Linked DNA regions of Macaca mulatta. The protein of the gene in region 1 interacts with the protein of each later gene in a pairwise test. Links are inferred from orthologs where the notes say so. Each region holds a gene or a part of one and is shown in the gene's direction. Other genes may lie near its edges. The genes, in order: ATF2, KIFC3 and ATF3.

Region 1 (9,725 bases):
GTTTTTGTTTTTTTATGTGACTGTTAGTGACGACAAGGAAAAAGCTGATTTGGGGAAATGATGAACTTTGTTTTTTATATACTTTTAAATACAAGAGGTATAATTTTACAGATCTGGGCTTGAAAAGAAAAGAAAGGTATATACAGCACAGACTAGATGTGCATAAAAGAAATGCAGAGCAGCAGTAGGGACCCAGCTCCAGACAGGTAACAAATTGGTAGTGAACATCATTCACCTAGTTTTGTGACTCTCCAGCAATTTTGGGAAGCTTGTTAATACAAACTGATGTAAAGAGCAGTGAGGGTTATCAGGGTTGTGCACTGGGAAGAGATGATGGAAGGTCAAAGTGGCTCTAGGCAGACAGCAAACAAGCACACTGTTCAACAAGATGACCTATGCATTTCAGACCGAGTAAGGAACAAGGGAAAACACAATAAAGGTGATAAATTGAAATAACACAGAGGGGTCATTTATGGGAAGCCATGAAAGGTAGGAGTGGTACTGTTTTTATTAACAACAATATTGTATAAAGAGCAGAATAGCCGGGCGCGGTGGCCTGTAATCCCAGCACTTTGGGAGGCCGAGGCTGGCGGATCACAAGGTCAGGAGATCGAGACCATTCTGGCTAACACGGTGAAACCCCGTCTCTACTAAAAATACAAAAAACTAGCCGGGCGTGGTGGCAGCGCCTGTAGTCCCAGCTACTCGGGAGGCTGAGGCAGGAGAATGGCGTGAACCCGGGAGGCGGAGCTTGCAGTGAGCTGAGATCGCGCCACTGCACTCCAGCCTGGGCGACAGAGCGAGACTCCGTCTCAAAAAAAAAAAAAAAAAGAGCAGAATATAATGATGGCAATCCCTCTTTCTGGTGAGTCAGATGAGAGAGGTGGCATTAGCATCAAGAAAAAAAACAAGGCCCTTAAATTCCATTCTCCCTCTCTCTGGACTGGTTTTGTTGAAGCTAGTATAAACCAACTGGTATGATGTGAAGATAAACGACTTTTTTCCCCATAATTCCACACCCCAATAATTATAAATTATTTTGGGAAACCCAAGATTTGGGTTGGAGGGTAGACATCCCTGCACTTAGAATTTCCATGATGAGGACAAGTGCTGAGAGGTAACTTTAATATAGGCCGTTTCAGCAATGTGCAGGAAGACCCTGAACTGGCAGAGGAAAAGATCTGCCATGAGATAGAAGCTACCAAAATGTCTGTACAATGTCTGGGCCCACATTATCCTATTTCATCTCAGGTATCAGTGGGGTAATCATGTCCTGTGTCCCCCACCCCTTTCACATCACACACACACACCCCCCCACCTTGATTCCACTGATAAAATCCCAGCTAATCCACTGTACTAGGCTGTATCCTGAGAATATCATGAAAATGTACAGGCTCTTTCCCTAAGCCTAGGATTAGTTGTACCAAGCAGACATAAGGGGTGCCCTGTAGTCTTCTATGTTTTGGTTAGCTGCAGACAAACAGAAACTGTGTTCTGTAAATTATTAGCGAGAGAGAGAAGGAGGGGAAGCTGAAAGGGAAGATGGAGAGAGAGATGGTTTGGCTGGGTCCCCACCCCAAATCTCATCTTGAATTGTAGTTCCCATAATCCCCACGTCATGGGAGGGACCAGGTGGAGACAATTGAATCATGGGGGTGGTTTCCCCATCCTATTCTCATGATAGTGAGTTAGTTCTCAGAGATCTGATGGTTTTATAAGGTACTTCTCCGTTTGCTGGGTACTCATTCTTTTTGCTGCCGCCATGTGAAGGATATGTTTGCTTCCCCTTCCGCCATGATTGTGAGTTTCCTGAAGCCTCCCCAGCCATGCTGAACTGTGAATCAATTAAACCTCCTTCCTTTATAAATTACCCAGTTTCGGGTATATCTTTATTTGCAGCATGAGAACATATATATATATATACACACACACACACACGTTTTAGAATTTTCGTGAGCAGTTTTAACAGATTATGGATCAACAGCCCTATCATACTAAGGTGGAAATACCACATTTATGTGGCATTTGGAAGATTTTGAGGGTGTTTAGAGACCATCATTGATTCTTATGATATTTAGTTATTAACACTTCCATAACAGAAATGCATTTTCTTCAAATAGCCTCATTTTGTATCTAAGGAATATTAGTTTTATTTAGCAGTCATGCTGGGTTCTTAAAGGGGATTCACTAGACTCTCACTAATTCTCTTAGAACTAAGTTTTGGGTAGGTGCATTATGGAACAAGACAGGTAAAGAAGAGGTCTACAGTAAGTTTCCTGCATTTGTAAAGAGAAGACTAAAGAATTTTAGGACCCTTGGGGATACTGAGGAATGCAGAAGTGAGAACAAAAATGGAAAATGATGGCATTTTATGAGGATATGAATAAGTAGTGAGACAAGTTCACAGAATCAGACCTGAATATGGTAACTACATTCATTTTGACAATGCTGAATGTCTTCCCCACTTGTAGAAAAACTATAGTAAACAAACTGCTGTGGAACTAGAAATATGTGGATAAAGTGAGACCCTTGTTAAACGCCAGGCTGCCAAAATGCATATATAATAGACTGGCATAGTTTCCACCTGTTTCCCGCCCCCTATCTTGTTTATTTTTTTTTTTTCACTTTAGGTATACCTTCTCTTTAGAAAATTAGCTGAAACTGAATTATCAAAACAGATCAGAGTACTGTTCATATCACTAGTTCTTCTCTTGTCTAAAAAGAACTGAAAGACTTTCTTCAAAATGTGTTCCTCGAATGCATCATGTAGATAATTTAACTGCTTGACAACAGACCAGAGAAGTAGAAATGAGAAATTTAAAACCAAAGCTACTGCCCAATTGAATACTGAAAAAAATAATTTCAAATTTTAATACACATGAATGGAAAAATAATTTTTTAAAAAATCTATTCTAATTGACCCAAACTTCTTTTGAAATGTCGTAACATTTCTAATTCTTTTTCTCACATTAGTTGTTTTGGGAGATGGAGAGAGAAGCATCATTTTAATCAATGTTTTCTAGACCTAACAACTGTGATGTCAATCAAACATTTTGTCCACCATTTCCATCATGAGTAATCTGAACTGTGAGGTTTTGCTGACATAGTTAGTGTTACACTACAATGACACTACTACAACATTACTGTTACTATATGGGGACAACACTTTCATTTTAAGTAGGAAAGTGTTAATAATTTGGCTTAATGTTTTTTAACTAAAATTAGTTTTAAAAGAGGACTGAGTTGGCTTATATACATGTATGCAGTCCAGAGACCTACCTGTGAAAATGTCAATGCCATTACAATTTCACTTTATGCCAGATATCATTCTTGAACTTCAGGCTCATTATCTCTTATAATATCCCCTAAAACCTTTCAACAACTTTGAGAGTGTATTTTATGTTAATATATAAACTAGTTCATAATTTTGTTACAGACTAGAAATCAGTATTTAATAAATGGAAAAATAAAAGACTGAAAATCTTTTATTGAGTAAATTTTCAGAGGCCTCTGATCATACTTTTCAACTTGTGCCTATTTATTGAATAACCAACATCCCTACAGTTAATATTAAAATCTTTAAGTTGTGTGAGGTTTATTGGAGGGTAGGGATGGGGAATTACCAGCAAACTCTGCCTCCCGCAAACCTCACCTAACCCGAAGCTCCCCGTCTCAGACTCCCGGGGAGCCAGGGGTAGGCTGAGGAACGCAGCCTACCTTTACCCACCTCCCTACCTAGTGCTGGGAAGCGACGGCAACGGAGACACCCGGCTCCTGGGGCTGGGCTCGGAGGACCCATCCTGCTTCCCCCTACCAGCCTTTCTGGAGCTCACCATCCTCGCTTCACACCGCCAACACCCTGCCTACCCCTCCTCCGCCGCCTGCACCCGCCCCCTCCTCCAGCCGACAGCCAATCACAGCCTTCCACAGCCTTGGGTTTACAGAGGTAACGCTCCTTGGGCCCTCTGGTCCCGCCCCCTCCAGAACTGCTTCCCGCCCTTCGGGCTCCTTGCCCAATCACGAGCGCCCGAGTGCTCTTTGGTGCCCGTCCCCTCTACCCGCCCTGCCGAAGACCCGCCTTCTTCTCCTTAAGCCTGACGGAATCACCTGACTCGGAGGCTCTCCCTCAGAAGGAAGGCAAGACGGGGCGTGAGCATGGAGGGGAGGGGCGCGAGAAGGAAGGGGGGGATGCCGGGAGCGGGGCGGGTCGGGGGGGGGGAGGAGGGTTGTCAGTCCGATCTCGCGAGAGAGGACGGAAGCCTGTGGGAGCCCGTGGCCTTTAAAGTGCCGTTCAGCCTTTTCGTCCAGGGGTGGTTTGTAAACACGGCTGTGCTCGGGGCTCACGAGTGACCGAAAGGATCATGAACTAGTGACCTGGAAAGGTGAGTAATGATGGGCAGAGGTCAGCAGGGCTGGAGACTGTAGGGATACGGAGAAAGAAGGTGCTAACATGGCGACGTCGCTCAGCACAGTCCCCACCCCCCGTTTCCCATCACCTCGGGTGCTCCTGACGTGCTTCTTAGCCCTTGGGGCGATTGTGGCTGTGATGCCACCTTAGCGGCCCGCGCGGTGTGGGCTTTGGGAGACTGACTGGCTGGGCCGGACCGTTAGGTAACCAGCGTTCGTTGTTCCGGCCCCTCCCTCTCGCGCGCTTTCCTAAGGCAGAGGAAAAAGGAATAACGGCTCCTCTTAGACCCCTCCCTCCGATTTATCTTCCCCCTGCTTGGGTCAGTTCAGAGGTCCTCGGGGCGCGCGTCGAGTCAGCCGTGTGCGCAGGGAGACCTCTCCCACCCACAGTCCTTGGGTTGGGCGGGGAGAGGGCCCACTCTAGTCTCCCCACCCAGTGTTCAAGCGATTGAGGACCGTGTATTTGTGATGGTGGCGGGGAGGAGGATCGGGAGGCGCGGCTGAAAATAGAATCAGGGTCCCTGGCTGCGGTGCAGCCTGAAGGAAAGAATGGTGTGGAGAACCTGGGAGCTGCAAGTCTCGGCCTTTTCCGTCCTTTCCGCCACCCTCACAGTCCCGCTACCCCCCACTTTTTCCCGGTGGGGCGGGGCTTAGGTGTGGGTGCAGAGTGATTCTGGTATTTTCCCCTATTTTTTTTTAATCTCTTTGGGTGGACAGCAGACCTTATGTAAAGAAATAATTTGCTTTTCATCATGCCCTAGGAACCAGGGCCGAAAGGGAGTGTGTGTACGTGTTTTCCATGTTCGCTCGTTTAACCGAACCTAGGAGGAAAAAGAGAGGAGGAGCTGGGGACTATTTTTGTGCCCCTAGGTAGTATAAAATTGGCTTTCCTTAATGGAGAGTCTTAAAACTGGTGAGGCCAAGAGCAAAACTACTGTGAATATCATGTAGTAAAAGAGATTATTCCTGATGGACCTCAGGCATCAGAAATTTTACTGAAAGAAATGTTTCTCTTAAAATTCAACACCTATTTTAAGTAGTGATGTAAAGCATTTCTTTACATGTACCTTCAGGTTTTCTAATGCTTTCCTGGCTATTATTTAACTGGTACTAAGGGATTGACTAATCCCTGAATTATAATGTGAAAGTTTAAATTTCTTAGAGGTTTTAAATTATGGAGACGTCACAATGCATGCATTTACGATATACATTTAAAATCAGAACAAAAACTGACTTCCTTTGAGCACACTTTTTGTCCTATTTGAAGAAACATGACCACTGGCGTTATCATTGTCAGTAACAGCCGTTCTAATCTTTATATAGCCATATAGCTTTGGTCTCATGAATCAAAATTATGAAGGTAAAGCTTTATAAAAGCTTTTTAAAAAGTAACACCTACAGGTTTAAGTGCCCTGAAGTGCAAACACAGAAACAGTTTTATCATGTATTCATTTTTTTTCTTACTCGAGGAATCCACCGTAAAAACTTTGTTTCAAAATGATAGGAACATCCTTGTAAAATACGTTTTAAAAATAGATATCCTCTGAAGATTAAGAAAGTTCATGGATCTTTAAGGCCGTCAGTAGTTGCGTAATAGTTAAGAATCCTCGTCTTTGTAAAATAATTTCTAGGAATCTTCCAGATTTACCGTGATGTGTAAAAGAATTTCTGAGAATCTTCCAAATTTGCCGTGATGTGTATGTTGCCTTTCCAAGACGTTTAATCTTGCTTTGAGAGAATGCTACTGCCATTAAGTTTTAAGAAATGATTTAAAATGTAATATCGTGGAAATTTAGAACTTAGATGTTATGTATTTTAATTGTCAGTAAGGAAGGAGCTTTCAGGGACCTTTTGTGTGTGTGTGTAGGGTATATAATACCTTCTGTAGCTCCGGGTGCATTTCCTGAAAATCCTTTTTAAAATACCTTATCCGAATGTTTATTTCGTATTTGGGGCACTATATTATTATTAGTTAAATATGTAACCCAGGAATTCCTGCACTTTTTTCTTTGGCGTTGTTTTTTATTTTTAAGCTTAGATAATAGAGGCTGGGCGCGCGCGGTGGCTCATTCCTGTAATCCCAGCACTTTGGGAGGCCGAGGCGGGGGGATCACGAGGTGAGGAGACCTTCCTAGCTAACACTGTGAAACCCCGTCTCTACTAAAAGTGCATAAAACTAGCCGGGCGTGGTGGCGCCTGTAGTCCCAGCTACTCAGGAGGCTGAGGCGGGAGAATCCCTTGAACCCGGGAGGCGGAGGTTGCAGTGAGCCGAGATCACTCCACTGCACTCCAGCCTGGGTGACAGCGAGATTCCGTCTCAAATAAATAAATAGTAGAAATGGTTGTCAGCATTTTAACAAATAATGGGGGTGGAGGTACTCTTTATTGGTATTCAGGATCTGAAAGCTCTGTGAGTATGGTTGAAAAATATTCCATACATCAAACATCTATCTATAGGTAGCGTTAACTCTTCAAAGAATAATGTACATTTTTTCTACCCAACTTTTTGTATTTTGGAAAACTTGGGTTTTAATGATACATACATTCTTGTCTGGTAAATTGTTAGATCATGTTAGATCAGGTAAACAGTCTCACCAATGTGTGCTGTTTCTACTTATTTTGTCTTCAAGCTCTTCCTTCCAATATGAAATATGTCTATAGGTAGGCATTTCTTTATCGTTTTTATTCTTACTAAAATGTCGTTGGAGAAGATAAAGTAGTTGAAGTCTCCCTTATTAAAACCAGATTTTCACCAGAACCTCTTGTTTAAAATTCAGTGAATAACAATAATTAATATTCAACTGATTTTTATAAAAGTCAATGCCTATAGCACTTGTTGGGTTATTTTGTATAATTAAAATGTACCCTAAAAAAATCCCACCTTAGGCAGTATGTGGTGGCTTATGCCTGTAATCCCAGCACTTTGGGAAGCTGAGGTAGGCAGATCAACTGAGGTCAGGAGTTCAAGACCAGCCTAGCCAACACGGTGAAACCACGTTGGTGGGTGCCTCCAATCCCAGCTACTGGGGAGGCTGAGGCACGAGAATCTCTTGAACCCAGGAGCAGGAGGTTGCAGTGAGCCGAGATCGTGCCACTGCATTCTAGCCTGGGCAACAGAGTGCAACTGCATCTCAAAACAAAACAAAAACAAAAAACTCACTTGGTATTGTTGTAATCTGGACTTTAGTATTTGTGTTTATCTTATACTCACACCAATTCCTCAAGGCTAAGAACTTGTCTAAAATGCTGCATGTTCTCTTTATGTAAGTTTTAATGTTGAAGTAGTAGGATAGTAATCACCTGTTTATGTTTGAAGGAAAACCCCACGGAACATTTTATTTCCTTTGTTATGTTTCTCAAGGTTAAAAGGTTATATAGTAAGGTGTAAGATCGTTTCATAAAAAATCAAGGAAATTTGTGGATCTTTAAGGCCATCAGTAAGTGTATTTTATTTTATTTTATTTTTGAGACAGAGTCTCCCCTCTGTCTCCCACACTGGAGTGCAGTGGTGCAATCTTGGCTCACTGCAATCTCCACCTCCCAGATTCAAGAAGTTCTCCTGTCTGAGCCTCCAGAATAGCTAGGGGTGCTATTCCTAGGGGTACACCACCATGCCCTGCTAATTTTTGTATTTTTAGTAGAGATGGGGTTTCACCATGTTGGCCAGGCTGATCTTGAATTCCTGGCCTCTGGTGATCCACCCACCTTGGCCTCTCAAAGTGTTGGGATTACAGGCGTGAGCCACCACACCAGGCCTGTTTTTACACACTATTTTTATCTTATAAATATATTTAATGTTACATATTATAAAATTATAAATAAATATGTATTCCTTATATATGTCTTTTCAATTTGTTGAGACTTTTTGACAACCTTGCTGACAACCTTGAAACTGGTGTATTCATTTTCACTTTTGAGGGATTACAGGCATGAGCCACTGCATCTGGCCTATTTTTATACATTATTTTATGCTACAGGTGTATTTAATGTTACATATTATATGATTATAAATATGTATTCATTATATATATGTTTTCAATTATTGTTGGCAACCTTGAAACTAGTGTATTCATTTTCACTTTTTTTTTTTTTTTTTGAGATGGAGTCGCTATGTCACCTAGGCTGGAGTGCAGTGCTGCTCTCAGCTCATTGTAACCTCCGCCTCCTGGGTTCAAGTGATTCTCCTGCCTCTGCCTCCTGAGTAGCTGGGATTACAGGTGCCCGCCACCACGCCTGGCTAATTTTGTATTTTTAGTAGAAATGGGGTTTCACCATGTTGGCGAGGTTGGTCTCGAACCCGCCTCGGCCTCCCAAAGTATTGGAATTACTACAGGCATGAGCCACCACACCCATCTTCATTTTCACTTTGAAGTATGTTTATTGATGGTTTTTTTCCTTGGCATTTTGACATTGACAGTAAAGAAGAGATGTAAATAAAATGTTTTGGGGGCTTTGCCTGTTCACCCATATTTGCATTCTGTATCTTAACAAAGATAGTGGTTCTCAGCCACTTTTTTGCCTTTCTACCCAAGGAATAGAAAATACTTCCAACAGTAGTAGTGGCTTATTACCGTAGAGATTCTCAACAAGATTGGTAGGGAAAGACAGGGAGAAAGAATTGTAATTGGCAAAATAACCATATGGACTTTGGTTACTTTTGTAATATATAGTATTTTTATCTATAATATTGACCACAAATTTATAAATATATTCCCTAAATATTCTTTAGTTTGCTAGCAGAACTGAAACCTTTGTCATTCCAATTTTTTAGCTTTGTTCCAATTTTATAGCTTTGGTTTTTCTAATTTTACTGTTTGGACTAGTATGTTTGCTTTTATTTATTAAACGTGTGTCGGAACAATTTTTTTTATGTATCAACTTGTTTTGCGATACTAACATAATTGTGTTCATTATTTTTGTTTTCTTCTAGTTTGTGCATATATATTACAGTTTTTACAGAATTATATCAAATAAGTTTTTATTTTACTTTTATTTTTATTTTACTTTTATAGCATTATATTTTTCCATGTTGTATAACCTTTATGATATTTGTTACTTGATAGTTGAAAAATAAGTATTAAATTTGTACTAAATGTCTGACAGGAAAATAATAATAGTTTTCAGTTTATGCCTATTTTGACATTGAATTGAACATCTCTGTGCATTTATCTTTTTCTTTTATGAATTGTTTCTGTAGGATACTAATCTCAAATGAATTACTAGTCAAAAGATACAAATGTTTCTGCAGTTGCCAAATTTTTGCCTCCCCAAAGACTTGAGCAAGTTTACACTGTCAGCAGAGCATGAATGTGTTTGCT
Region 2 (9,467 bases), on another chromosome or scaffold:
ACGTGGCTCCTTCTACTGCATGGCCCTGCCCACTCTCAAGGCCCCTCCTTCCATCACAGCCCATCCCACCCTCATGCTGTGGCCCCTCCATCTGCATGGCCCCACCCACACTCAGGCCCCTCCCACCCTCCCACCATGTGGCCTCACCCACCTTCAGGCCCCTCCCACTATCACAGCCCCTCCCACCCTCATGGCTGTGACTGCCCACCCACATGGCCCCATCTGTCTTCATGACCCTGCCCATCTTCTCCATCTGGGAGTACCCTCCTGTATCAGTCCCCTGGGCCTTCCTAGGAATCCCCCGACCCCCTGAGGCTGTATGAGAACCATGTGTTCTCAGTGTCCACTCTTCCCTTGTCTCTGCCCAGACCAACCTGCTAGCCGGACCAAGGCCTGTGCCCTCTTGTTCTCATGTCTGGTTCTGTCTTTGCCCCCATCCGCTGATGGCTGGCAGGCAGGCCCAGGCCAGAGAGTCCCCAGGCATGTGCTGGCCTCTGCCTTCCTTGTGCTGAGCGCTCTTTGAGAGAGAGCAGGAGGAGCTGGGGGAAGGGCAGCAGGCACCGGCCTGTCTTCCCTGCAGTCTTTGGGCGGCCCAGTTGCCCACTGATGTCTAACATATGACTCACGAATCACGAATCATTGTGAGCTGAGTGACTGCAGTAACACGTGCTGTGGTGTTGCTAAAGGACAGCATGGTTGGGGAGGTGGCTGGACTTGTAGCTGGTGGTCCCAGTGGCCCTGGAAGCCCCCCACCAGCCTCCCTGCCACCATCTTCCCAGGTGTTCCAGGAGGTGCAGGCCCTGATCACCTCTTGCATCGATGGCTTCAATGTCTGCATCTTTGCGTACGGCCAGACGGGTGCCGGCAAGACATACACGATGGAGGTGGGTGCTGCCCCACGGGGTGGGGGTTCACAGTGAGGTATGAAGGGAATGCGGGCTCCTTCATTGGTCTTGGAGTTTTGTGCAGTGTGTGTTTTGCCTCATTTGGTCCTCACAACCCAGGAGCAGAGGCTGTAGTTATCTGTGTTAGCCCCAAGGCACCAGGCCTTAAGAGGGGGCCCCCTTGCCCAACGGTACCCACAATGGGCCCAGCAGGACTGGGGAAGAGGCAAGGGGGGTCTGTCATCACAGGGATCTTGGCCTGGGGACAGAGTCCAGGGCAGGCCACCCACCTCTCTCAGGACCGGGGCTGCGTTTCACCTTGACTGTGCACTGCACGCCCCTGCTTTATGGCTGCCTTGGCCGGGCCTGGGGGATCTGGGATGAGTGGTTGGTCTCAGTCCTCAAGGAGATCCCAGGGCAAGACTGGCATGCGAAGGCTGTGGTGGGGAGCCCAGCTCTTGCTGGTGGCCCCTGGGGCCAGGCCAAGGCTTCCTCTCCCTGCCCGTCACCGGCGCCCTCCCAGGTGTGGTGGAGCAGGTGGCTGGCCAGGGAGGGGGGCGTTGAGATGAGGAAGGATCTTGACTGTGGGCAGAGGGCAGTGGAAAGCTAGCCCTGACTCTTGAGGGGTGCTGTGGGATTCCCTAGGTCAGAAGGAGGCCAGGTGGTACGGCATCTGGGCAGGGGAAAGGGCTGGCCCGGCCTGCTGGGCAGGGAGCCTGTCATGGCGGCCCTCTATTTCCCATCTGGACTCTGCTGTTCCCTCAATTCTGGAACTAGTGAGACTAGTTAGTGGGGGCAGGCCAGGCCAGGTGGGAGGAGGAAGGGGGTGTGTGCAGCATCCCCTGGGCTCCCTGTTCTGCTTTGGGATTGCTTAGAGTTGAGTTGACCACCAGAAACATCAGCGTTCGTCCTCAAGCGTATCTGCTGATGCCTGAGGCATATCGGGCATTGTGCCAGGTACAGCTTTGACCCAAACAGTCCCTGCCTCCACAGGGGGCCCTCCCCACAGTGCCAACCTGGCTGTGGGGAGGCAACACAGTCCACATAAATCAGCAAGTGTCCTGTCAGGCCAGGGAGAAAAATAAAGCCAGGGATGTGGAACTGACTAGGGGGAGGGACAGGGCGTTTGGGGGTGCTGGGCGAAGGAGCAGCCTCCCTGAGGGAGATGACAGAGCCGACCACGGGGAGGTCAGAGGAGCACCCAGGGCAGAGGGAGCTGCAGGGCCAAGGCCAAGAGGCCAGAGCATGCCAGGGGCACCTGAGGCCCGACCAGGAGGCCCCTGCGGCAGGAATAGAGAGAGGGTGAGAGATACTGTCAGAAGAAGGGCGAGGGCCAGGCTCCCAGGGCCTCGAGGGCCCAGGTAGGGACTCCAGGTTTCCTTCTAGAAAGGCCGGCCCACCCCTCCTGCCCCAGGACACTGGTCCACTCCTCCCTGTGCCTCCTCTCCACCACCCACAGAGCCCAGGCCTCAGCCTCCCTGAGATTGAGCCCCTTTCTGGGCAGTGGTGGGGTCATTCATTTCCAGCACCCCTCCCAGGTGGCCCCGCAGGGCCAGGCATGCATCTGGCCGTCAGCTGGCCTATGTGGGGTCTGGGCCAGGCCCCTCACCCCAGTGCCGGACAATGAGTCTCAGGGTAGTCCTGGCAGGGCGATACCATTTTAATGGTGGGGAAATAGAGGTGCAGTTGCCTGCAGCTGGTGGAGGGCATTTTGGGGGACAGTGGCAGGTAGGTAGGTTTGGGCAAGGAGGCTTGCCTGTGAGGAGTAACCAAGGGGCTTGGGGGACAGACGCCACACGAGCATCTTTGGGGACAGGCCTGGCTCACTGGGGCCTTTCCTTCTGCCCCCAGGGGACCCCTGAGAACCCAGGTATCAACCAGCGGGCCCTGCAGCTGCTCTTCTCCGAGGTGCAGGAGAAGGCGTCTGACTGGGAGTATACCATCACCGTCAGCGCCGCGGAGATCTACAACGAGGTCCTCAGGTGGGAGCCCCAGGGTATGCAGAGCAGGCCTCAGGGGCAGCTTTGGGGTCCTCCGGGGTGGTGCTGGAATGAGGTCCTCAGGTGGGAGCCCCAGCATGTGGGGAGCAGGCCTCAGGGGCAGTTTTGGGGTCCTCTGGAGTGGTGCTGGAGCAATGGGGGATAGGAAGTGGGGTCTTCCTGAAGGGAGTACAGGGAACAGATGAGGCCATCAAGGGACCTGGCTGCAAGTCCTGACTCAGCCCATCGGTTTGGGTGGTCCTGTGGGGAGGAGGGGCTCTCTCTCAGCCTGCCCTAGCCCAGACCCAGGCAATCCTTGCCCCTACCTGTGGGCTGCACCAGGTGGCTGTGGGTGAGAGTGGGCAGCTGGGGGCCCTGCCCACAGGGCTCATTGCATTGTGGAGTGAGATCTCTGCGTCAGCTGAATGCGGTGGAGGAGCTGGAGGAGGAGAGATGCGCTCAGCTGATGGCTGAAGAAGGCTTCCTGGGTTGGGGGAACATTCCTGGCTGGGGGGCTGGGTGCAGTGCAAACAGCAGCCAGAAATGGGAGGAGGGCGTGACTGTCTCACCTACCCCTCCAGGGACCTGCTAGGGAAAGAGCCTCAGGAAAAACTGGAGATCCGGCTATGCCCAGATGGCAGTGGGCAGCTGTATGTACCAGGGCTGACTGAGTTCCAGGTGCAGAGCGTGGACGACATCAACAAGGTGTGGAGGAGGGAGCCCCTGACCACAGCCACGCTGCTCTAGAGGACAGAACTGGGTTTGAATGTAGGCTCTGCTGTGTCCTAAGCACGCACCCTTGGGCAAGTCCCCACGCCTCTCTGAGCCTCAGTTCCCTCATCTAAACTGCAGAGGGTGGTGCCAACTCCTCACGGGTGCTTGGGGCCAGGTGACTCTGAGGACCCCATTCTCAACGCTGTGCCTCTGCCCTCCCGCTCCCAATCCCCCAGGTGTTTGAGTTCGGCCACACCAATCGCACGACGGAGTTCACCAACCTCAACGAGCACAGCTCCCGCTCGCATGCGCTGCTCATCGTGACGGTGCGAGGCATGGACTGCAGCACGGGCCTCCGCACCACGGGTGAGAGTGGCGGGCAGCCTGGCCTGAGGATCCCCACAACCACAAGGGGCATGGCAGGCCTGATCTGCTGGGTGCCCTCCCTGCAGGGAAGCTGAACCTGGTGGACTTGGCTGGCTCCGAGCGCGTGGGCAAGTCGGGGGCTGAGGGCAGCCGCCTGCGGGAGGCACAGCACATCAACAAGTCGCTGTCAGCTCTGGGGGACGTCATTGCTGCCCTGCGCTCCCGCCAGGGCCACGTGCCCTTCCGCAACTCCAAGCTCACCTACCTGCTGCAGGATTCACTTAGTGGTGACAGCAAGACCCTCATGGTGGTACAGGTGAGTGCCTTGGGTTAGGGCGGGCCAGTCCCTAGAGTGGAGGGGCTGCGCTAGCAGCGAGACCCGGTCACCCCAGGCTGTGCAAAGGAACCCTTGTCTCAGCAGCTCCATAGTCAGCAACAGCCCCCAGCCCCAGACCTGGCCACACACACCCTGTGTGACTCCCAGTCCCTCCTCTCCACCTTTGACCACGCTACCTCTGCCACCTTGCCTGCCCTCTCACCCCATCTTTCAGTCCTCTCCAGGAAGCCTTCTGACATCCCCAGCTGTGAGCTCCCTCTGTTGGCCCTGCTGTCCCTCCAGCTGGCCTGGTTGGGCAGTGAGCTCTTGTGTCCCGTAGGTGTCCCCCGTGGAGAAGAACACTAGCGAGACGCTCTATTCTCTCAAGTTTGCTGAGCGGGTGCGCTCTGTGGAGCTGGGGCCTGGGCTACGCAGGGCAGAGCTTGGGTCCTGGTCGAGCCAGGAACATCTAGAGGTACGGGGACTGTCACAGGCCTGGCTCAGGTGGCCCTGGGTCAGAGACTTTGGGTCATGGCAGGAGTGGGGAACTGGGCGGGGACGTCCTGAAGCAGTGGGGGCGGGGAAGCTGCCGGAGGTGGGTGGAGCTACAGCTGGAACCCACAGCCAGGAGCCTCTTCAGTACAGGTAATTCTTCTTGGCCTCAGAGGTTCCTGTGGGGTGACCAGCTGGCCGTGGGGGTGGCACACAGTAGGTACTAGTTGTACCTAGCACACAGTGGTAACTAGTTGACTTCTTTATATGTATTATCTCGTTTAATTCTTACCATAACTGAGGCTGGGGCACGAGCATCATGCCCATTTTGCAGATGAGGAAACTGGGTGTTAGGAGGTTAGGAGGCAGGGCAGGGGAGTAGAGAGCAGCACAGCAGGGTGGGGAGCCAGGGCAGCCGTGGCCCACGCCCACCCGCCCTTCCCTGCTGACAGTGGGAGCCGGCTTGTCAGACGCCACAGCCCTCAGCACGGGCCCACTCAGCCCCCAGCTCTGGGACCAGTAGCCGCCCTGGATCCATCCGGAGGAAGCTGCAGCCCTCGGGTGAGCCTGGGGTGGAAGTGTGGGTGGGGGAGTCTCCCCAGGATAATAGTCACCAGGCTGCCCTTACCTGGATTGGCTTTCTATTTTCTTTCCTTTTTAAAAAGTTCTTACAACTTCTTCAGAACCTGTTTTACAACCTCCCCTGCCCCCAGGCAGTCGTCAGGGCAGACAGTGCTGTGTTCAGTCTGCAGGTGGGAAATGAAAGGTCCGTGGGGAGGGGTAGTGTAAGGAGACCCCAGCCTCCCAGCTTGGGGTGCTGACTTTACCCTGGGACCCTGCTCTCTGAGGGTGGGCTGGCTGGGCCTGTGCAGTAAGCCCCCTCCAGAGCAGTCCCTGCATCCCCCTCCCTGCACCTCAGCTGCCCTGGGGATAGAAAGGGCAGGGCTTGCCTACGTCCTAGGTGAGGAGTGAGCCCCACCACAGGACTGGGATCCAGGACTCCAGCCCCTGTTTAGCCCAGATCATGGGAAGGCCTGGCCTGTCCTTGAGTCCAAAGGGGTAGCAGCAGCAGGGTCCTGTGGGGTACTGGCCTGAGGCAGGCCCACCAGTGAGACGCCTGTCACTTTGATTTCAGCCTGACGGCTGGGGCTGCAGCCTCTAGGTGAGTGTGGGGCCAGTGGCCCAGGGCTACCCGCCTGCCCGCCGCCATGGGTTGCAGGGCTGCGCTGGGACGTTCTGCTGCTCAGGGCTGGGTCTGGCCTCCGCTGGTGTTGTCTGTCTGCTTCTGCTGGGTTCCCTCCTGCTCTTGGTGGCACCTGTTGTGGGCTGCCGGTGGGCGAGTGGACAAGAGGCTGATGATCCCGGTGCCCCTGCAGGGAAGTCGCGGCCACTGCCTGTGTGACGGATGTGACCCCGCTGGGCCTGGAGCTGGGCCCCGAGGCCTCACCGGCCTGTTCCTGCTGCAGCGCCAGGACCCCCGGAGGTGGAGGCAAGAGTGAAGGCTCCTCTTCTGCCCCGTCTCCCCTCAGAGATGAGAAACATGTTCAGAAGGAAACGGTGTCTCTCGGCTGTGGCTCTGGGTGCAAATTGCATGGGCGGAAAAGCGGGGGTGGCTGCTCTTCCTGGCGGGCCTGGGCTGTCAGTGAGCTGGGCCCCGTGAGGAGGGCAGGAGAGTGGAGGAGGGCGGGCCTCTCACCCAGGCTGCCCCAGCTCCTCTCCTCAGCTTGCAGGACTGGCCAGCCCCCTCCTTCGTGGGTGGGCAAGGAGCCTCCTGGCAGGCTCAAGAACCATTCGGACTGGGGTGGGTTGGTGGCACCAAGGGCAGCCCTCCCCGCCCCTCTCCTTCAAGGAGGGGTCCCGCAGCTGGGGTGTGTACAGAGGCGCACGGCCTCCTGCCACGGGGCCGCGCCATATTTATGGCTGACAGAGGCAGCCAGTGGGTGGGGGATTCTGCTGCTCCCTCACCTGCCTGGCTCACTGGTCTCTTGAATTTTCTTCCCTCTGAAATCTATTTAAGAACTTTTGGAAGCTTAGCCATTTTTACTTATTAAAATAAAAGCCTTTTTACACAAGTATGGTCTGAAAACTTTGGCCTGTGAGCCCCTCTTGGTCTGCTAAGGGGGATGGGGCACTGGCAGGTCCTGTGGACTCCCGGGGTGACAGCCCTCCAGGAGCTGTCCTCTAGGTCAGTTAGGGACATGCATCCTTAACAACTGGGGGGAGCCCGCGCTGTCCCACCCTGGGTCACTTTCTCTGTTGTTTGTGGTCACAGTCACCTCATGCAGTGCCTACCGTGTGCCCACAATAACTGACCGACCTCCCTCCATGTTACTGATGGGAAGGAAACTAAGGCTGGAGAGAGCTTCGAAAGCTCATTAAAGCCTTGCCCAAACCATGCTGGCCTTCCGGGTTACTGCTGGGCACCACCCACTGCCCACCCTTTGCCCTGGCCTTTTCCCTCTTCAGTGAACTGGCCAGAGGTCCGCGCCACCTTCCTCCAGTGCCGAGGACCCTGACCACCCCGGGACAGGGCTGTACCTGGTCCCTGCCTTGGGAGCAGGAGGGGGCCCACCTGTCGCAGTGACCACAGAGCAGTGGGCCCTTTCCCGCCAGCCAGTGCTGGGGGCTCCAGCAGGGAATGACAGCTGATCAGAGCCCTGCTCAGAAGAAGGGGCAGGTGCCTTCCAGTCCTGCCCCTGGAGGCATCCTGGGGGTGTCCATAAGACAACTTGTGTGTGGCTGAGGTGGGGAGGACCGGCTGGTGGGGCCCACCCCTACCTAACCTCAACACCCAGTGGTGGAAGGGTGGTTGCCGCCTCCCTTTCCTTCCCAGTCTGAACTGATGTCCCACAGGCCTGACTCTCTGCTGCCCCCTGCTGGCCACACGGCCCAGAGCCCCACCCCAGGGCTTGGAGGGGGTGTGGCCTCATCTCAGAAACGACGGGGCAGGCACTCCTGGGACGTGGGGAGCCCTGTGACCAGCAGAAAACATTCCCCGCAAGGAAACCTGGGAATAGTTACAAATTTAATAAAATTTGCCTTATAAATTACAGCAGCAGCCCCAGGGCTCAGTTCGCTGCCCCAAGAAGCAACAGTTGGGCAAAGCTGGGCAGCTATTGCTGGAGAGAGTTGTCTGAGAGTTCAGGGCTGTAGAGGTGGCCAGGGACCAGCGTTACCTCCTCCAGGACGGCCACAGGACAGCGGCAGGGGCCAGGCAGAGGCTCATGGGCCACTAGGCACAAAAGGAACAGGAGTGGGGGCTGAGGCCAGGCCCTGAGGGCAGCCAAGCGCCCCTGCCCACTGCGTTCCTCAGTCCAGACTGGCCATGAGCAGGTGCAGCTCGCGGAAGGTACTGCCGTGGCGGCCGCTCAGGCCCGACTTGCTCTTGACCAGGCCGCTGATGCTCTTGAGCTGCTTGTAGCAGAGCCGGCACTTGTGCAGCCTGTAGAGAGGGCAGTGCCTGAGGGGCCAGCTGGCACCACCACCACCCCAACCCCAGGGCCTTTGCTGTCCTAACTGCTCCAGCCCCTCCTCCCAAGGGAAGGTGGAGGCCCAGAGGGGAACTACCCAGGCCCTGCCAGGGATTGTGGGCACAGCCAGGCCATGGAGGAACCCAGCTCTGGCTAAGCCCACCCACGCCCTGAGCCATGGCCCCAGACCAACACACCCTCTGTACTCTGTCCCAACAGGACTGTCAGTAAGAGGGGCCAGGGCCTCCAGGCCTTTGTCCCCTCACCTGTTGTGGCACCCCTGCCCCCAACACACGTGCCGCCTGGCCCTCACCTCTCCTCCCTACTGATATCCACACCCACGGAGGGCGGGGCTGCCAGCATGTCCGTGATGAGGGGCAGAAACCGCTGCAGGATCAGCTTCAGGGAGGTGCAGCCCGTCTGGACGTAGCTTCAGGGGGAGATGGATGAAGTCACAAATGGACTCAGGGCCACAGACAGAAAGAGAAACAGCGAGGAACAGAGGAGAGGGGCAGACACAGACACACACACACACACACACACACACACACACACACACGCCTGTTTCCACTCCCACCTCTGGACCGTTGAGGGGCAGCAATGCTTCACAGCCAGCTCACAGGAACACCCAGGCTCTTGGGGGACTTCCCATGGTCCAGGAGGAGGCTTCCTACCTCTCCCCTCCCCCTGCCTGAGGCAGGCATGGCTTCCCCACACGCACCTCTCATACTTGCTCTGCAGAAGCTTCTCGATCTGTGGCAGGACCGTGGTGCACAGGTCCAGCTTCCACAGGGAGCTAGGAGAGGCCAGGACATGCTGCCGTCAGCCCAGCCCTGCCCCTCCACCCACTCCCCCTCGGCAGCCACTTACGCTTTCTGGTTGACGATGTTCAGGAGGTCCACCACCACCGACAGGTCGTTGATGGCCACAGCGGAGTCCACCGACGTCTGTGCAAACAGAGCACCGTCAGGGGAGGGGCAGTGGGGGACAGTGTGGCCCTGTGAGGGTGAGGGTGGGGGCACGAACGTGAATGTGGGTGTGCTGGAGGGGCTGTGGGTGTTTACAGCACTGCACCTAACGCAGTGAGTGTAAGGCCAGGCATTAAACAGGTGCTTACTAAACAGCAGCCGTGATAATGACGACAGGACGGCCTATCCCACATGGGTGGCCTCTTCTTGTTCTGCCCCACGCCTGGGCAGGCAGGTGGCAGGGGCAGGGGGCGAGATGAGGCCCTGGGCGAGGGTGG
Region 3 (9,836 bases), on another chromosome or scaffold:
ATTTCTTAACTCTAGTTTTTGGAGGGGAAGAAAGGTTGCATAAATGGGTCTGCCCCTGTGGTATTCAGTGCCTTACCTATGATGTCTTCTCTCTCCCCATCTCTCTTAGGGAAAGTTGCCAGAGGCCCATAGGGTGGCTTTGGCAGAGGGTCCCCATTCAGGACCATCAGAGCTCAGTCCAAGGCTCCTCACTTCAGAAAAGTTGGGAGCCTTAGAAAGGGGGAGTGCCTTGCTCAAGCATATCAAAGACAGAACCAGACCCTGAACCCAAATCCCCTCCTCCTAGCCCAGGATACTTGGCAGGGCCACCCAGCATTGAGGAGAGCCCCAGGTGTGTGGTGGAGTTGCTGTGATGGGGAATGAGGACCGTTCTCATCGGTGTCTGCCTGGGCTCTCATTCCCACCCCCTTATGATTGTCATTCCTGGAGATCGCTCGACTTCATCCACTATTTGCCACTGACAAGGGGTACTCAATGAGTTCCTGGAGAGATTCAGGGGCACCTCAGAAAGCTTTTCTTGATTCATAATTAACTAATGATACCACTATTGAGGGCTGACCGGGTGCCACATCCTCAGAGAAATGTCATAACAATTTTATGCATTAGGCACTATTGTTAGTGCCATTTTTCATTTGAAGAAATGACTTACTTAAGGTGACACAGCATCTAAGTGCTGAATCCAGAATCCAAGTGCCTTCCACACTTTGGTGCCTACTGTGTGATGCTGCACCTGTTTCCTGACAATGCCCATTTTGGACGCTATTAAACTAGCAGTCACCACATTCAAACTGACTTTGTAGAAAGAGTGGGCTTCAGAAACAGAATAAAGTATAAGAAAATCGACTCCACTCCCGTTTCAAAGCGAAGAAGTAGGTTGAGCTAGGCAGACAGGGCTGGTAGTACTCTGCCGCTCCTCTGGTGGATCTTACCTTGTGTTTCTAGCATTCTGGGTGCAAATACAGTCTTAGGGTTTACAGAACAGAGTAATGGGGCAGAGGAATGTGGGAAGGGATTGTGCACTGAACTAAGAAACTGCTAGAACCATTAAATATCTCGAACTTTTTTTTTTTTTTTTTTTTTTTCGCGTTGGCTCCCTGCAATGTTTTTCTGTTTAGATTTGGTTGCCACGAGTGGGCTGTTTTCAATTACCTAGTTCCTTCCCCTCCCCTTTTTTATTTTTTCCCTTCCTTTTGCACATGTCCCAGCATGAAGTCTCCAACTCTTATCTCACTCAGCAAAACATACCAAGGCTGATCCGAATGTGGATTCCCCAGGCCGTTCACCAGCATAAAACCTCAGCAATCTTCAAGTCTCTGCTTAACCGTCTTTCATTGAGGATTAACCCCTGAAATCACCCTAGCCAGGGCTTCCTTCTAAGGCAAGACAGCCATTCTTTGGTTTGCGTCGAGAGGAGTTTTGGTGTGGAAAGTTTTTCTGTGCGCTCCTCTGCATGGCACTGGCTGTGTGTGTGCTGAGAGTGTGCACACTGGACATTGGTGGCATTAACTTAAGTCAGGGTAAAATGAGGATGCAAAGGACTCAGATGTTGATCACTCTCCTGTGGCAAAGACCTCAGGGGCTCCGCCTTGCTCTGTTCTTTTCCAGTCTCTCAATTCAGCAGGCATTTCACGGTTCTCCTGGGGGCTGAGGGGAGGGAGGCAGGCAGGAGTAGCTTTTGTTTTCCTTGGATAAGAGTTTCATTCAAGTGGGAGTGGACTTAGTTCTCTGTCAAGATTCTTATCACTTTCAGGGTTGAGAATGTCAGGATCAGACTTCTGTGAACAGCGGACAGCATTTCTATCCAGGTGTAACTTGGAGATTCCAAACTAAGAGTAATTAGAATGAAGCATGATTAATAAAAGGAACTGGAGGCACAATGGTAATAAAAATAACCCGACCAGGGTGTTAGGGGCTTCTCCCCCCACCCCAGTTACCCTTTCCTTCCCAAGGCAGAGCCCCTGACGTTTTGTGGAGGCCGGTCTGGCTGTTTATTTACTTGACGACCTAACTGGAATTTCCCCTTAAGGACGGGACCAGATCTCCACAGATTTGGCTTGCGTGTATTAATGGAATCATAGTTCAAGCTGTAAACTGGTGAAAGATTTCTGTTTCACAGCAGAAAAAGAGTAAAAAGCTTCACGTGTTCTCCCTCCTCTCCTTGCTTCATTTTATAATGGTGCTATTTATTCCAGGACAATCTATAAGTAGATAAAATAGCGAAGTAGAGATACCAAATAACTTCATTCAAATGCACAAACGCTTCTCCATCTAATCCCGCCCGGTGTTCTCGGGGTTGCTCCGACACGCCCGGGGTTTACCTGCGCGCACTCCAGCGGGAGGGCGGGTTGTGGAGGTGTGCTGCGCGGCGCGCGGGGGTGAGGGCGTGGGAGCGGAGGGTGGGGCCGGGAGAGCCGTTACCAGGGCGAAAAGTAAAGCGAAAACACCCGCCCTGCACTTCCCGCGCGACGCCGCTGGAAATCGGGTCAGGTGCAGAGCCAGATCTCTGAGGATCCCGCGTGGAACCCCAGGGCTTCGGGGCCCGCCCGGGCGCAAAGACTTCCGAGGCCGCCCTCCGCGTGTTCCCAGGTCCATGGGGAGAGGGGTGCTCTGAGTGAGGTCGGGCTAGGCGGCGAGGAACCCCGGTGGGGGGAACTGGGGACTTCAAGTGAGACCCGGGCTCCAGACACCTCTAATTTCTACCCCAAATTACCAAACTATGACCTTCGGCCGCCTCTCTCCCAGAGGCAGGTAGAAAGGAGGTGTTTCTGCCCTTTGCCGTGCTCCCACAGCCTGCGGCCGCGCAAGTCTCCCTCCCAGGCAGGTGCGAAAGTCCCGGGCCACACTTATGTCCACAAATAGTCATCCACAGGCAGTCAAGAAGGTTACTGGTTCTGCCACTCTCTGAGGAGAAACTGTTGTGGTCGGGGAATAAGAATCAGGAAATCGTTTTTAAGGTTTAAACCCAGTTCTGCTGAGGTCTCAGCTCGAATCTCGGCTACGGGGCCCCGCCTTTCCCGCCACCCTGGCTTGAGGGCAGAGGGGATTTCTGCTGCGGGTTCCGCCTGTGGTCAGTGCGTCCCCATTCCGGGCCGTCTGGTCCCAGTCCAGTAGGCTCTGGGAGCAGAAGAACCCGTGAAAGCTGAAGATGGGTTTTCCCTAAATATCGCCTGAGAGCGGGGCGACCCCCAGGCCTGGGCAGGTTCGCGGACCCCAAAGCACCTTCTCTTTCCCCCTAGTCCTGGCCACTGGCTTCCGCCCCCTCCTACGCTCCCACCGGGCTGCCTCTGATTCCTCCGGGACTCCGATCTTTTCACGCTCTTGTTGGTTTCACTGAGACGTTCTTGTCAATTTCAAACGCTTTGTGATTGAAAAAAAAGAAGAAAAATCGAACCGATACGGTCCTACCACTCGCCCTAGTCTCGGAGCCCGGAGCTGTCCTGCGTGTGCGTCTATGTGGAGGGTCCGGGGCCGTGGGCTCCGGCGCACGGTGCCAGCAGAGGGCTGCCCTCCGCTTTTGTGTTAACGGGCGGGCTTCTCGCGGTCCCCGCCGCGGAGGTCACACCCGGCGGGTAATGGCGTGGATACACCGAAGAGTGACTTTGGACACCTTCCCCACATCACAGACTAACGCTTCTGCCCCTATTCTGTCCCTGCTAGAGAAGTAGGAGGCCAGTGGGGGAGGGGGTATTTTCCTGAAGCTCCAGAAAATGACCACGCATTTTAGAGAAAGGTCGTGCCCGCTTCCCAGCCTCACCTAGTCTGGGCTGGGGCCGGGACCCGCCTCCCCACCTTCCCCGCCCCCCCGCTCCTCAACCTAGCGGAGGGAGAGATGCCAGCGCGGTGGAGTCATGCCGCTGGCTTGGGCACCATTGGTCATGCCTGGAACACGCAGCAGCGAGTACGCACATCTGGCGGCTATCCCAGGCGACTCCGGTCCTGATATGGAGAGAGAGGGCGGGCTGGTGTGTGTCTCAGTAAGCGAGGCTGGGGGAACGCGCCTCGGCTGGCTCCTCCCCGAACTTGCATCACCAGTGCCCCCCCATCTCCACCCGCCTTCCGCCCCGCCTTGGCCCCTCCCCCACCCCCTTCCTCCGCTCCGTTCGGCCGGTTCTCCCGGGAAGCTATTAATAGCATTACGTCAGCCCGGGACTGGCAACACGGAGTAAACGACCGCGCCGCCCGCCTGAGGGCTATAAAAGGGGTGATGCAACGCTCTCCAAGCCACAGTCGCACGCAGCCAGGCGCGCACTGCACAGCTCTCTTCTCTCGCCGCCGCCCGAGCGCACCCTTCAGCCCGCGCGCCGGCCGTGAGTCCTTGGTGCTCGCCCGCCGGCCAGACAAACAGCCCGCCCGACCCGGTCCCGACCCTGCCCGTCCTCCGGACCCTGGCCGCCCCGAGCGGAGCCTGGAGGTGAGCGCTGGAAGCCAAGGGAGTGAGCGCGACGAGGGCGGCTTGCCTTCATTCCCTTCGCGCCCCTCTAAGTAACCAGTCCGCCGACCCCTGACCCACCCCAGATCCGCGCCCCCAGTCTCCGGCTTGGAAATAACTCTGGCTTTAACTTCTTCTAAGCCACCGCTGCTCCTCGGCGCTTTGAAAAGTTTCCCGCAAAGCGAAAGAACTAACTTTCTCTTTTGACTTGGGGCGCGAAAGGTTCCTGGTGACGGAGGTCTGGCGTCCACTCTGCCGCCAGCCTGGAGCGCCGCTTCTCTCCGCAGACGGCGCTGGCTTGCGGGGCTGGGAGAGGGCGTGAGGTGGGTGGGCGGGTGCGCTGGGGTGTCCGAGGCTGCCCAGCTCGCCGTCCCGCTGCATCCCTCGCTTCGAGACACGGCACTGAGGGAGCCGATCCTTCCCGGGGTTGGCAGAGAGGCACGAAGGCGGGAGGCTTGCGGGAGGGCTGCCCCACGCGCGGAGAGGAATGAATGGGGAAGGGGCAGGAGGGCGGGCGGCGTCGCGTGCGCGGCCGCTGGGGGTCGCCCTGGGCACCCCGGAGCGCTGGCGGCAGGACCGTGAAGGCAACCCCGAGAAAAAGTTAGCTGGGATAAGTTTGGAAGTGGAGAGCGCTGGTGTCGCGCTGTCCCGGGGCGGACGACGGGAAGGGCTCCCGGCACCGGTTGGTGTCTGGAACCCGAGCCCGGGACTCCCACACACCTGGGACTCTCACTCTGGCTTTTCCTTCGGCCGGTCCGCGGGAGACCCACCGTGGCGGGGAAGCGAGGGTGTGGAGCCAGTTGTGCAGATATTTGAGAGAATGGCTTTGTGGTCTAGTGCCAGGACTCTGAGCGCTTACACTGCAATCGATGTCGTTGAGCCTCAGTATGCCGAGCCGGGAAATAGGGGCACATGGGCAGTACCGGCCCCCTCTGCGTGTTGGAGGGCACAATGCAGTGGTTGGACCAGATAACTGCTAAGGTCCTTTCTGTCTGGAGATTTTCAGATTCTAGGGTGGTGTAGTGGGAAGAAAAGGAGCCAGTGAGGGGACTTGAATGCTGTGGGTCTCTATCTAATGTCATTGACCGGTGTCCAGACAGTGGGGGAAAGGGGACTTTTCTGCAGGGCATCTTTTCCCTCACCAGTTTTCTTTCCACTGGATTCCTTCTCCTTCTGTGCTCCTCCTATCCCCATTTTTGTCTCTCATCTACTTCCTTTCCTCCTAAACATTTTCTTTTACCTAATTTCATTGCAGAGGTCACATATGCTTTCTTACAAATAAAATAGTTACTAAATCCTTGATGAAGCCAGAAAAAAAAAAAAAAAAAAGGAGAGCCAGAAAATCTGGATGTTCTCTCAATGTACCCCTTTCGTTGTAGGTGACAGTCACATCTTCTGTTCGAAGTTTCTGTCTCCACAATTTAAAGTGAAGGCAAAAAATTGGTATTACTGTCCCCGTTGTTTTGCAGTTAGCATTGGTTGTAGAATAATGCTACAACATACAGGCTCCTGCTTTGAGGATATCCTGGTCAAAGATGGGATGTGGTGAGGATTGCAGTTACTGTCAGAATTGTTTCAGAGACAGCAAAGAAGGCAGCACCCCACGCCCGCAGTGGGGCTAAGATACAGCACCCAGCATCTGTGGCAGTGCTGGGAGCCTTCTTTCTCTCTCTCTTCCTCCTTGCCCTTTAGCCATTATAGAATTCCTTTCTCTCCATGGCTCTTTTCTTCGATAGCCCCTCCCTATCTCAGTCCTGTCAAAGTCTCCTCTGTGGTTGGTACCAAGTGCCAGGACTCTTGACCCCTTATCTACCTGGCTAATGGCTCTGTTCTCTGGTTGCCTTGTTGGTTGATCCCTTGAGGTGGTGATACCTATTGGTGATGGAGCAAAATGAGCAGTTGGTGGGTGGTCAGCAGCTTGGCATGGGATGGGCCACTCACCAGCTTTATGACCTCAGGCAAGTCATTTTTACCTCCCTGGACCAGTGTACTCATTACAAAATGAAAATCTGACCTAGATGATTCTAATATTGAGAGGGTGTGATTTCCATTAGATAGAGTCCATGATTCCTTTCTTTTTAAAATTGGCTGGGCATGGGACAAGGCCAGTGGCTTCAAGTGTTACCCAGCCAGGGGAGGAGGAAGGACATAGTCAAGATGCCACAGAAGCTTTCCAAGGGAGAAATGGTTTTTAAGTGAGAATTGGTTTTCTTTCAAATATGTAATGGAGAAATGCTGGTGTCAGCAAATAGTGGGGTGACATCTACCTGGTCTGCGAAGAACTTGGGGTCAATCAGAGTACAAAAGAGGCTCTGAATGACCTGAATTTCTTGAAGGTTTTAGTTAATTCCTCACTAACAGGGCTTTGTTGAATTGATAACAACAGAATGAGTTTTTCCTGAAATGGAGAAGATGGAGTCACAGTAATAATGACTACCCAGTGTATATGTAAATCTCATATATCCTTCTTAACAGCCCTTTGGGGCAGGCAGTTTTGATCTCAAATTACAGAGGAAGAGAATGAGAGGCCCAGAAAGCCTAAGTGATTTGTTGGTGAGTGCTTAGTTTGTGATTGGCGCTGATAGGTTCAGAAACATTGTCTCTGGCCCTTGATGCCCAGCTTTGCACCTACAATCTTCAAGAGGTCTGGGAGGAAGACCAAGATATGAAGAGTTAGTGAAAGGCCAGTATTGGCTTCCTAGTAACATAAGATGGTTAGCGAGCAATGCTTAGTGGAAAGAGGATGAAAATTAAAAGTGAAAATTCAATGTAGCTGTAGCTACTAGGAAATAAAAATCTGGGAGCTGAATTTCCAGTTAAAGGAATACATGAGTAGTTTCACTTTCTTGAAAATGATGTAACTACCAATGATACAACATGATTTCTGATTGGAAATAATCAAGCAGAAACAAAATGCAAGTTCTTGGTAGCAAGTCTGAACAATTTTATGATCAGCATAGAAACTCTGATCTGAGGTCCCCAAACAATTTTTTTCAATGATCAGGATGTTTGAGGATCTCAACTTTCTGAAAAATTGTCTGATGATTTAACTTCATTTCCTTGTGGGGACACAGCCTGAGTCTAGGCTGAATCATAACTCAAGAGACTGAGTAAAAGAATAACTAGAAAGTATCCCAAGAAGTTAAGCTTTAGCCTAGTGCCAAGAAAACCCAGATATCTACAGATACATCTGTTTTACTTTCTGAAAGACTTCTAACATTTTTACAACCATTTCTGTCCCCAAGTAAGCCCACCCAATGCTTTCCATAAAAGCATTCCATACCACTGACGTTCTTCAGCTTCTTTCATTGGGACTGCTGACTTTACATAAGAAGAAGGGTCGGGATGGGAGTCACAAACAGCAGACCCCAAGCCCTGAGATCTCATTAATAAACCTAGTTGGGTGGCAAAATGGAACTACGCTCTACTGCAGTGAAATTCAAAGTACCATGTAGAAGGGAGCCATCCAGGCCTCCGAACAAAGACTAGCCCAGTGGTAGCTCTGAATGTCATCCCTGAATCACTGGGTTTTTAATAAAGTTGGAAAGGGCAGGGAAACATGAATGCATGGGAGAATCTTAAGCCTCTGGCTTTAGAAGTCTAGTTTCTCAGAGTTTATTGCCTGACAGTGACAAGTATCCTCCCAGCATCCTAAGATTATAGGATTAAACTGAGAGAAGAACTTCAGTTCTGACTCATTCTTTGGGAAAAGAATTACATACATAGCCTGGGTTTCTTTGACTAGTCAAGGGCAGCTTTCATTGGCCTGGAAGTCTTGCCTCCATTGGTGTATGTTAGATCTCTAGGGGGAGTTGAAGTCCAGGGTATTCTATTCAGAAGCCTTTGAGATCAAAGAGGGTGACCAGCCGCCCTCCCTCCTGGACCCCACAGAGCCTCTGTCAGAGAGCCAGCCCTGGGCTGGAGAGATCTCTGGGAGGCTTAGTAATCATGGAGCTCCTGGCCAAAGGAATGTTTTCCAGGGCATGTTCATGTATTAGTTCCTCAATTCCTCATAGGATATTATGGGAAAATAGGGTGATTGTTACAAGCCCTCTTTAACAGAGGAGAAGAAGCCACTGGGAGGTACAATGATAACACATGATGGAGTAAGTGGGCTTCAGATTTTCATCTTCTGACCCCAGTATGAGAATTTTGTGGATAAGAGACCTACTTGCTCACACTCCCAGAGGGCAGGTAGCAAGCAGCCTGGGTGTGCACCCTGACATAAAGATTAGCAGTTCATTAAACAGAGTTCAAGTTATCCCCAGGAATCTCTACTTAGCCTCGCCTCCATCACTTCATTTCCAGGCCTCCCACCTACCTTAAGGCCTGTCCCCCAAAAATTTGCTCTGGTTTTTTGTTTTGTTTGTGCAATATAACATAATACTGGTTTGTTTTTGTAATGTGTAATAATATTTGTTCATTTTTTGCAATGTACAAATTAAGGGCATGAATCCTGGAGCCAAACTAACTTAATTCCAAATCCTGATGCTGCCCCATATTAATTCTGTGACTTTGGACAAATGACTTAGTTTGTCTAAACCTCAGTTATCTCATCTATAAAAGGGGGCTAAATCCTAACTCACTGGGTTCTCATGAGGATTAAACGAGATAGTGCCCCTAAGGTTTCTGGTATGAAGGAGGCACTCCTTAAATGTTTGAGACTTGCCAGAGGGCTTCTTCGCTGTCTGGACTGTGCTAATGACCACAGATCCCTGGTGAGAGGAATGCCCAGACCACACTCATCCTACACTCATCCCTATACTCATTGCCCCTTGGAAACCAACTGCAGGGAGGAGGGGGAATGGCCACTGCTGGAGGGAGTACCCAAGACTTATGGGGGACTCTTCCAAATTGGGTCCGTGTAACTGTCACTATTTCTACTCTTTTTTTTCCTTTTGTCATCCTTTTGGGTTCACTGAGCTATAGAATAATAGAGAGAGATGAATTTAGCAACTACATCGCTGAAGCTTCTACCCCGGAAGTTGGGCCCAAGCAATGGGAATGAGAAAGGTAATCTTGGACTATGGGGGGCATTTGATTTGATGGCCCCATCCCCACTTCATTTATTCAGTTGGCCAGTGAGGCATGGCGAGTCAGGTGCTGGGCCAGGCTCTGGGTAAAGCAATGGTGTAGACTCAGTGCTGGCATTGGAGGAGCTCTCAGTCATTTACCAGACACAGACTGGGTCCTAGAGAGCTGAAGTGACTGGCTCAAGTCACTGCTCTTTAGTGCCAGAGCCAGCCCCCGGGTTCTCTGTCCCCACACCCAGCCTAAGTCTCTCCCTATACCACAGGTCTGAACAACTCCCACACAATACGGCACCTCACTTTTCTTTAAGGCCTTTTGCTTTGCCAACCTTAACCTTAAGAATCCAACTCCCCATCCCCTGCCAAAGTCTGGGGTG

The links.
Region 2: the proteins of ATF2 (region 1) and KIFC3 interact in binary tests that used the Homo sapiens proteins (3 or more experiments, as listed by UniProt). The two-hybrid records come from large-scale screens. The link is inferred for Macaca mulatta from reciprocal best matches to the Homo sapiens genes ATF2 and KIFC3.
Region 3: the proteins of ATF2 (region 1) and ATF3 interact in binary tests that used the Homo sapiens proteins (3 or more experiments, as listed by UniProt). The link is inferred for Macaca mulatta from reciprocal best matches to the Homo sapiens genes ATF2 and ATF3.

What each region holds. Positions count from the first base shown.
Region 1 is NC_133417.1:80,092,546-80,102,270, reverse strand, and holds the start of ATF2 (cyclic AMP-dependent transcription factor ATF-2), read left to right. Parts: upstream 1-4,228; 5' UTR 4,229-4,382; intron 4,383-4,722; exon of another isoform or gene 4,723-4,798; intron 4,799-9,725. UniProt on the Homo sapiens protein: Transcriptional activator which regulates the transcription of various genes, including those involved in anti-apoptosis, cell growth, and DNA damage response.
Region 2 is NC_133425.1:53,366,461-53,375,927, reverse strand, and holds the end of KIFC3 (kinesin-like protein KIFC3), read left to right. Parts: intron 1-779; coding exon 780-884; intron 885-2,523; exon of another isoform or gene 2,524-2,735; coding exon 2,736-2,866; exon of another isoform or gene 2,867-3,043; intron 3,044-3,189; exon of another isoform or gene 3,190-3,302; intron 3,303-3,436; exon of another isoform or gene 3,437-3,444; coding exon 3,445-3,568; exon of another isoform or gene 3,569-3,606; intron 3,607-3,813; coding exon 3,814-3,943; exon of another isoform or gene 3,944-4,029; coding exon 4,030-4,259; intron 4,260-4,599; coding exon 4,600-4,734; intron 4,735-5,010; exon of another isoform or gene 5,011-5,203; coding exon 5,204-5,572; 3' UTR 5,573-5,659; downstream 5,660-9,467. Other genes in the region: KATNB1 (katanin p80 WD40 repeat-containing subunit B1), read right to left, coding at 8,061-8,193, 8,535-8,651, 8,943-9,017, 9,092-9,219. UniProt on the Homo sapiens protein: Minus-end microtubule-dependent motor protein. Involved in apically targeted transport. Required for zonula adherens maintenance.
Region 3 is NC_133406.1:70,336,937-70,346,772, forward strand, and holds the start of ATF3 (cyclic AMP-dependent transcription factor ATF-3), read left to right. Parts: upstream 1-4,338; 5' UTR 4,339-4,411; intron 4,412-9,317; exon of another isoform or gene 9,318-9,442; intron 9,443-9,836.